2 linked regions of the Oryctolagus cuniculus genome follow. The protein of the gene in region 1 interacts with the protein of each later gene in a biochemical or structural test. Links are inferred from orthologs where the notes say so. Each region holds a gene or a part of one and is shown in the gene's direction. Other genes may lie near its edges.

Region 1 (3,816 bases):
TCTCACTGTCCACTCTGCCTGTCAAAAAAAAAAAAAAATTGTCACTTAAATTTGTGTATTTTACTTATAGAAGAATTATAAAGGCCTGTTTCTTATTTTTACTGAATTCTAACAAAGTTTCTGGTTTGTTGGTATACTAAGAACACTTGACAGGGAGTGGGCATTGTGGCATAGCCAGTTTAAGCCACTGCTTAGGAGGCCCACATCTCATGTCAGAGTGCCTGGGATCCAGTCCCACCTCCACTTCTGATCCTGTTTTCTGCTAATGCACACCAGCAGCAGTTGAATCCCTGCAACCCATGTGGGAGATGGATGGAATTCTTAACTCTTGACTTCAGCCTGGTCTAGTACCTGCTCTTAAAAGCATTTAGGGAATGAACCTACAGATGGGAGATCTCTGTTGCTTTGCCTTTCAAGTAAATAAAAATAAGATTAAAAGAACTCTAAAAATAAAAAAATACTGAACATTGAAATGTGTCAACCTAACAATGTGAGAAGAGACAGAAATACCTTTAAAACCAGATACGTGAATTCAGAAAGAATGGTCATATTTACTTACAAATAAACTTTGATAACACTTGAAGTAACGATTTAATAATTGATTATCAATGAATCTTTCAGAAAAGAATGAATTTTATTTGGCCTACTTTTTTATAAAACTAAAACATAAGTAATAATTTCTATCCAGAAATATTTATAATTTTTAAAATGTTTGATATCAAGTTGTTAAACCTCTGACAGTTTATTTTCTGCAGTCTAAATTTCTAGTATTTTACTGAATATGTTTTTAGTTTTGTCTAGGCACTTAACCAAACATCATTACTGGGGGCAGTGGGGAATCTACTTGTAATTGGACTTTTAACTGTGATAAGAATTCAAGGGGCCAGCGCTACAGCATAGTAGGCTAAGCCTTTGCCTGAGTGCCAGCATCTCATATGGGTACCAGTTCATGTCCTGTTGCTCCTCTTCCGATCCAGCTCTCAGCTATGGCCTAGAAAGGCAGTAGAAGATGGCCCAAGTGCTGGGGCCTCTGCACCGAGTAGGTGACCCAGAGGAAGCTTCTGGCTCCTAGTTTCATATCGCACAGCTCTACCCATTGTGGCCATTTGGGAAGTGAACCAGCACATGGAAGACCTTTCTCTCTATCTCTCTCTCTCTGTAACTCTACCTCTCAAATAAATCTTTAAAAAAAAAAAAAAACTCAGAGGTACTTACCTATGAAATATAGATTATTCAGATTTTTATTAATATGTACATTATTTTGGCTAATGAGCATTATGAAATGTAGTGTGACTGCAATTAATATAATTTCCACAAACCAAGAATGAATTCATCCATTAGTTTTTTTCTCACCTTCTGTGTGTGTATATATATATATACACACACACACACACGACTAAAGTAATAAGAATATGTATATTCAGTCATAGTCATCTTTTTTGTTTAATGTTATTCCTTCTGTTTTTTATTTTTTTAGAAACCTAAAAGCTATACTGCTGCTGATGCGACTCTGAAAATAAATCCTCAACTAAAAATAGATGCACACCTGAACAAAGTATGTCCAGCCACTGAGACCATTTACAATGATGAGTTCTATACTAAGCAAGATATAATTATTACAGCATTAGATAATGTGGAAGCCAGGAGATATGTAGACAGGTATGCTCTTGAAATTCAGGTTCATAAAGAGTTATCCTTAATTTTCATTACTGTTTCCCACAACTACTTATTGAGAAGTTACTGGATTTTCTGATTGTTCGTTATGTTCCTATTCTAGTGCTCCCTAAACCTAAAGCCTTTGATGTTTTCCAATCAAAATTGGTCACGTGCCTAAATGTTTTTAATGGAATAATTATCACCTGTGTACCTGTCTGGCTTAAAATTTTCCTGATCCCTCCAGACTCGCTGCTTTAGCTTTTGCCTGGTGAGAAGGCAGTGATAAACAGCTGCATTGCACTGCATGTGCCATTTTTCAGTTCTTAAAGACCTCCACTTTTTTTTTTTTTTAATCTCTGGGTCTTGGACCTACTATTCTTCAGCCTCAAAAAATTCTGTTTCTGTTGCTCCAGAACTTCTGATCCTAGATCTGCCTACCTACTCTTCACTTAGTTTTTTTCCTCATGCTTTCAGATTAGCCTAAATGACTTTGTTTAAACAGATTTTCTTGAACTGCTAAAGCTTAAATTAGATCTTGCAGGATTCCTTCAAAGCACTTTATACTTTTTTCTTTGTAGTACTTATTTTTATCTATATGTGTATAAATGTTTTTTGCCTCACTAAATCATTTATGCTAAGACTGTTTATGTTCTTTCACTGTGTCCTCAGTGCTTAACTCATGGTGTTATTCAGTAAATACTTGTGAAATAAGAGTTGAATGAATGACTACAACTGTATATACCTTACTTTATTACATTTATATGACTCCTTAATATTAGGGTTCACCAGTTGAAAAATGCATTGAAAAGTTGATAATCTTGAGAAAAAGAAGAAATTAAAGTATGTAGAACATAGGAATTTTAAGTATTGAGAAAGATTAACAGTGTTTGGGAGAAAAGATATTGTGGTATCAAATTTGGCAGTCAGAAAATCATCAAAGAAGACATAGAAAGCAAGAGAAGAAAGGGTAACACTGTTAAGAGCCAAAGATTCAGTTAACAGTAGTCGAAGAGAGAGACAAAAATGACTAGGTTGAGCAACAAAATTTGTGTATGGGAGTGGGATGCTAAAAATCAATGTGTTATTTTGTGGTATTGTATCTACTTTCTAAAACATTACATTCAGGGAGTGTTGAGTCTGTGAAATGGTCAGTAGGAAGTGGTAGGGTGTCCTTTGTTTACATTGTTATTGCTCACTCCTGAGTTTTTACTTATTATGTTTTCAAATAGCCGCTGCTTAGCAAATCTACGACCTCTCTTAGATTCTGGAACAATGGGCACTAAGGGACACACAGAAGTTATTGTACCTCATTTGACTGAGTCTTACAATAGTCATGTAAGTGAAATGATATTTTGAAGTAAATGTCTGTCAACTTTTATGTCATAACTTTTTTGTCTTCATCAGTCAAAAAAGTTTGATTTACTTTTCTGAGTCCTTTTCTTTTTGTTTGACCAATTATTGCCATACACATGTACATGTGCATTTTTAAAAATATCTTATTTTATTTTTAATTGTCAAAATTTTGTATCTGGTCTTTATAGAGTATTAGTTTTATGTTGACTATTTTTTCTTAGAACCTCTTTTTTTTTCTTAACTTTTATTTAATAAATATAAATTTCCAAAGTACAACTTTTGGATTGTAGTGGCGTTTCCCCCCATAACCTCCCTCCCACCCACAGCAAACCCATCTCCCACTTCCTCTCCCATCCCATTCTTCAAGATTCATTTTCAATTATCTTTATATACAGAAAATCAACTTAGTATATACTAAGTAAAGATTTCAACAGTTTGCACCCACACAGATACACAAAGTAGAAAATACTGTTTGAATACTAGTTTTACCGTTAATTCGCATAGTACAACACATTAAGGACAGAGATCTACATGGGGAGTAAGTGCACAGTGACTCCCGTTGTTGTTTTAACAATTGACAATCTTATTTATGACGTCAGTAATTACCCAAGACACTTGTCGTGAGCTGCAAAGGCTAAGGAAGCCTCTTGAATTCACAAATTCCTACCTTATTTAGACAAGGCCATAATCAAAGTGGAAGTTTTCTCCTCACTTCAGAGAAAGGTACCTCCTTCTTTGATGGCCCGTTCTTTCCACTGGGATCTTACTCACAGAGATCATTCATTTAGGTCGTTTTATTTGCCACAG
Region 2 (3,816 bases), on another chromosome or scaffold:
GGAGAAGCACCTGGCTCCTGCCTTCGGATCAGCTCAGCGCGCCGGCCGTAGCGGCCACTTGGGAGGTGAACCAATGGCAAAGGAAGACCTTTCTCTCTGTCTCTCTCACTGTCTAACTCTGCCTGTCCAAAAAAATGTTTGTAGTTGATGGACTTATTTAATGCACTTTAAATATAGTTCGAAGGTATTTGGAGTGAAGTTGTTCAGAATCGTCTGTTCTGCAGGCAGTACGGCTGCAGGCTCCTCTTGGACAGGTCCATCGGGGCAGTAACCCGTTGAACAGAGCCTGTGTTTGCCGTTCCTAAAGCAGTTCCTGCCCGCAGTCCTCAGCGTAGGTCTTTACACAGTCGCCTGGGGCTCCTGGAGCAGGACAGGAGGCTGGCGGGGAGCGGCCCTGGCCTTTTGCCTGCAAGGGAGTCAGGGTCCCTGAGTCGGCGCCTGCCCTGAGCAGTTTCTGTTTAACTCCTGCCGCCTCGTGCCGCCTGCTGTGGGTAGCCAGAGCCCTCAGCCATTGCTGGGTTAGTGGGCAGGGCCCGGGTAATGCCGGGAGGTGGCCTCCAGCGTGGGGACTGTGTCCTGCCCCACATCGCAGCAGGGCGGGAGCAGCGGTGAGACGCCTTCACTGGACTGAGGGGAGGCCGCGGTGCCCTCCCACCCTCCCACCCCTCCCACCCCACGCCTGTGCGGCTTCCGCAGCGTGGCGTTTGGGAGCGACCTGCCCCTTTCCAGTGTTAGTGGCCGATCTGGGCCTTGACCAGGTTGATGATTCCTTGCCTTTCCCACGTGCTCAGCAGTGAAACGCACGCAGCAGCTCTGACCACCCCTTTCTTCAGAGGGAGGTGGGAGCAGCGGGGGGCCGTGGACCACCTGTGTGAGCTGCGGTGCGGCCGCAGGCCTGGCTGGCCGTGCTGCGCTCCTGCTGCTCCTCACTGGGCGGGAGAGGCTTCCTGGCACCGCGCTGGTTGCAGGGAGGGCCCGGTAACCCAGGCTTGAGGCATCTCGGCTGCGGGGCCTGCCCTGCGCGGAGCGCGTGGCCTGGCCTCAGCCTGCCCTGGTCTCGGGCTGGAGCTGCAGGACAGCGTCCCCAGCAGCCCTGTCCACTGCGTCTCCCCGAGCAGCACGCACGCGCTTTCCTTAGACTGAGGGGCGCTGGGCCCCTCACGGTCTGTGGTTCACGGTGACGTTTTGCGGGCGGTGGTCACAGCCTCCGTGCGCGGGGTCTTCTGGGGACTTTCCACTGCGTGAAAGTGAAAGTCTTCCTGCACTGCTTTCTGGGCTTTTTTTGTCTTTTTCCTTTTGGTTATGGAAATAAATATTGCTTTTAATATTTACAAATCCATATTTTTATTAATTTCACTGAACCAAGACCATTTTAGGATTTTAAACAAGTATGTACTTTAAAAAAGTCATTTAGGGGCCTGGTGTTGTGGCGTAGGGGGTTAAACCACCGCCTGTGATGCCGGCACCCCAATGAGCACTAGTCTGAGCCCCGACTCCACTTCTGTCCAGCCCCTGCTGATGCACCCGGGAAAGCAGCAGAAGATGCCCAAGTGCTTGGGCCCCTGCACCCACGTGGGAGACCCGGATGAAGCGCCTGGCTTTTGCCCCCTTCTTTAGCCCAACCTGGCCCTGGCTTTGCAGCCACTTGGGGAGTGAACCAGCAGATGGAAGTGCACTCTCGTGTGCTCTTTTCTCTCTCTCTCTTTCTTTAACTCTTTCAAATAAACAAAAATTGTTTAAAGAAATCTTTTAGGAAATAAGTTCGTTTTAGAATACATTTTTCGTCGTCTCCTTTTCCTGTGCTGGTGGCCCCGTGGGGAGGCCCTTCTGTGCTGGAGCCTGCGCCCAGAGGGAGTGCTTCCAGGCCGCAGGGACAGGCGGGCTGCACGCTCCTGCTGCCGGCGTCGCCTCTGCTGTCGCCGTGTCCTGGCCGGCAGTCCGCAGTCCTTCGTTCTATTAAGTTCCCGTGGTGAGATGCTCTGAGGCCCGTCCACGGAGGGCGATGGGTTTGGGTGGAGGCGCAGGCTGGTGGCTGTCCCCTCTCCTGCGCCCCTCATGTTCTGCTCACGGTAGCATCGCTCACACCTGTGGCTTTCAGAACTCGAGCGGAGCTTCTGACAGGGTTTAGTGCGTCCCTGCCATTTATGTGCGTGTGCCCTCACGTGCACCAGTGACTGTGTGTGTACATCAGTGACAGGGAGACGTCTGTGTGTGTGTGTGCATACATGCATCAGTGACAGGAGACACGTGTGGGAGCACCAGTGACAGGGAGATGTGTGTCTGTGCACAGAGATGCATCGGTGGCAGGGAGAGACGTGTGTGGGCACCAGTGATGGGGGGAGTGGCTGTGTGTGTGTCTCAGTGGCAGAGCTGCTGGAGGGTGGGGCTCCAGGTGTGGGCTGAGGTCCCAGGGCTCAGCCTAAGTGGAAGTCAGGGGTTGTGTGTGTGTTTGCTTAAGGTTGTGAAAATCACTTCTTGGACACCTTTAAAAATTAAAACCAGCCTTTGAATACAACTCTTAACTCCTCATTTATGTCAGTAAAGTAGAATCGTGCTGTCAGTATGGCATAGTGCACACCGTTACCCCAGGGTGCGACTTTATCATACACACAGACCGGGGTCCCTAGGGCATTGCGATGTTGGCATCAGTTATTTTCTGATCCCACTATTACAAAGAGGTTTTGGCTTCTTGATTTTTTAAAATAGATTTAAACTTGTTAAAACTTTTGGACTGAGAGTGAGAGAGCAAGAAAACTGAGCCTGCAGTTCAGCCTTTGCGCTTGCACCCACGATTGGTTGATTTACTTTAAAATCTGAATTTTTATTCACTTACTTGAAAGGCAGAGAGCGAGATTATTCCTCATCTGCTGGCTCACTCCCCAGATGCCTGCAGTGGCGGAGGCTGGGCCAGGCTGGGCCAACGCCAGGAGCTGGGGGCTCCATCTGGGTCTGCCACGTGGACGGGGGGGGGGGGGGCCCTGCCGTGTGACCCGTCGGCAGGAAGCGGGGGTCTCCCCGGGCCAGCATCTTAACCACGGGCCGGGCGTCTCCGTCCGTGTAACTAGAGGTGGAAGGCTGGGGGCAGGGCGAGCCTCTGCATCCAGAGGAGTGCGTCACTCTGGTTTCGGTTACGCGGTCTTCAGGTGCTGTGGTGAACAGTGCACACCCTCGACACTGCGGAGACGTGACACTGCCCGATGCCTGATGTGCTGTTTCCATGTGCTTCCAGGGGCCCAGAAGACACCTGCTTTGAGTTTGGTGTTTTCCCCGCCATCCTGAGTTTCCCACTTGATTACCCGTTAAGTCCCCCGAAGATGAGATTCACCTGTGAGATGTTTCACCCCAACAGTAAGTGCCTTCCAGCGTCCTCTGCGGTGCCGGGCGCGGCAGGGAGGGCCCGAGCCACAGGAAGCGAGTGCGCCACCTCCCTAGACGCCTAGCACGCGATTGCCACCTGCAGGCGAGACGCGAGCCTGCCGCTGGGCCACAGTGGGTCGCTAGAAAGCAGTGTTAGCGTGAGCTCCTCCGTGTTGAGCGTGTGACCGGGCGGGCGTGCACCTGCGGAGGGTCACACGTCTGCTGTGGGGTTATTGTTCATGCTGGAACCCCAGTAAAGTAGCCTTTCAGCAATAGAGAAGTTGCGTTCACGTCACAGATGAGTGTGATGACGTAACGGCGTTCACGTCACAGATGAGTGTGATTACGTAACGGCGTTCACGTCACAGATGAGTGTGATTACGTAACGGCGTTCACGTCACAGATGAGTGTGATTACGTAACGGCTAACGAGTGTGCCACGTTGACTGGGAGAAGCAGG

What was found.
Region 2: the proteins of UBA6 (region 1) and UBE2G2 form a complex in vitro, tested with the Homo sapiens proteins (2 studies listed by BioGRID, with this or other methods). The link is inferred for Oryctolagus cuniculus from reciprocal best matches to the Homo sapiens genes UBA6 and UBE2G2.

Annotation. Positions count from the first base shown.
Region 1 is NC_091439.1:97,638,256-97,642,071, forward strand, and holds part of UBA6 (ubiquitin-like modifier-activating enzyme 6), read left to right. Parts: intron 1-1,477; coding exon 1,478-1,659; intron 1,660-2,885; coding exon 2,886-2,991; intron 2,992-3,816. UniProt on the Homo sapiens protein: Activates ubiquitin by first adenylating its C-terminal glycine residue with ATP, and thereafter linking this residue to the side chain of a cysteine residue in E1, yielding a ubiquitin-E1 thioester and free AMP.
Region 2 is NC_091435.1:1,789,875-1,793,690, forward strand, and holds part of UBE2G2 (ubiquitin-conjugating enzyme E2 G2), read left to right. Parts: intron 1-3,229; coding exon 3,230-3,348; intron 3,349-3,816. UniProt on the Homo sapiens protein: Accepts ubiquitin from the E1 complex and catalyzes its covalent attachment to other proteins. In vitro catalyzes 'Lys-48'-linked polyubiquitination. Involved in endoplasmic reticulum-associated degradation (ERAD).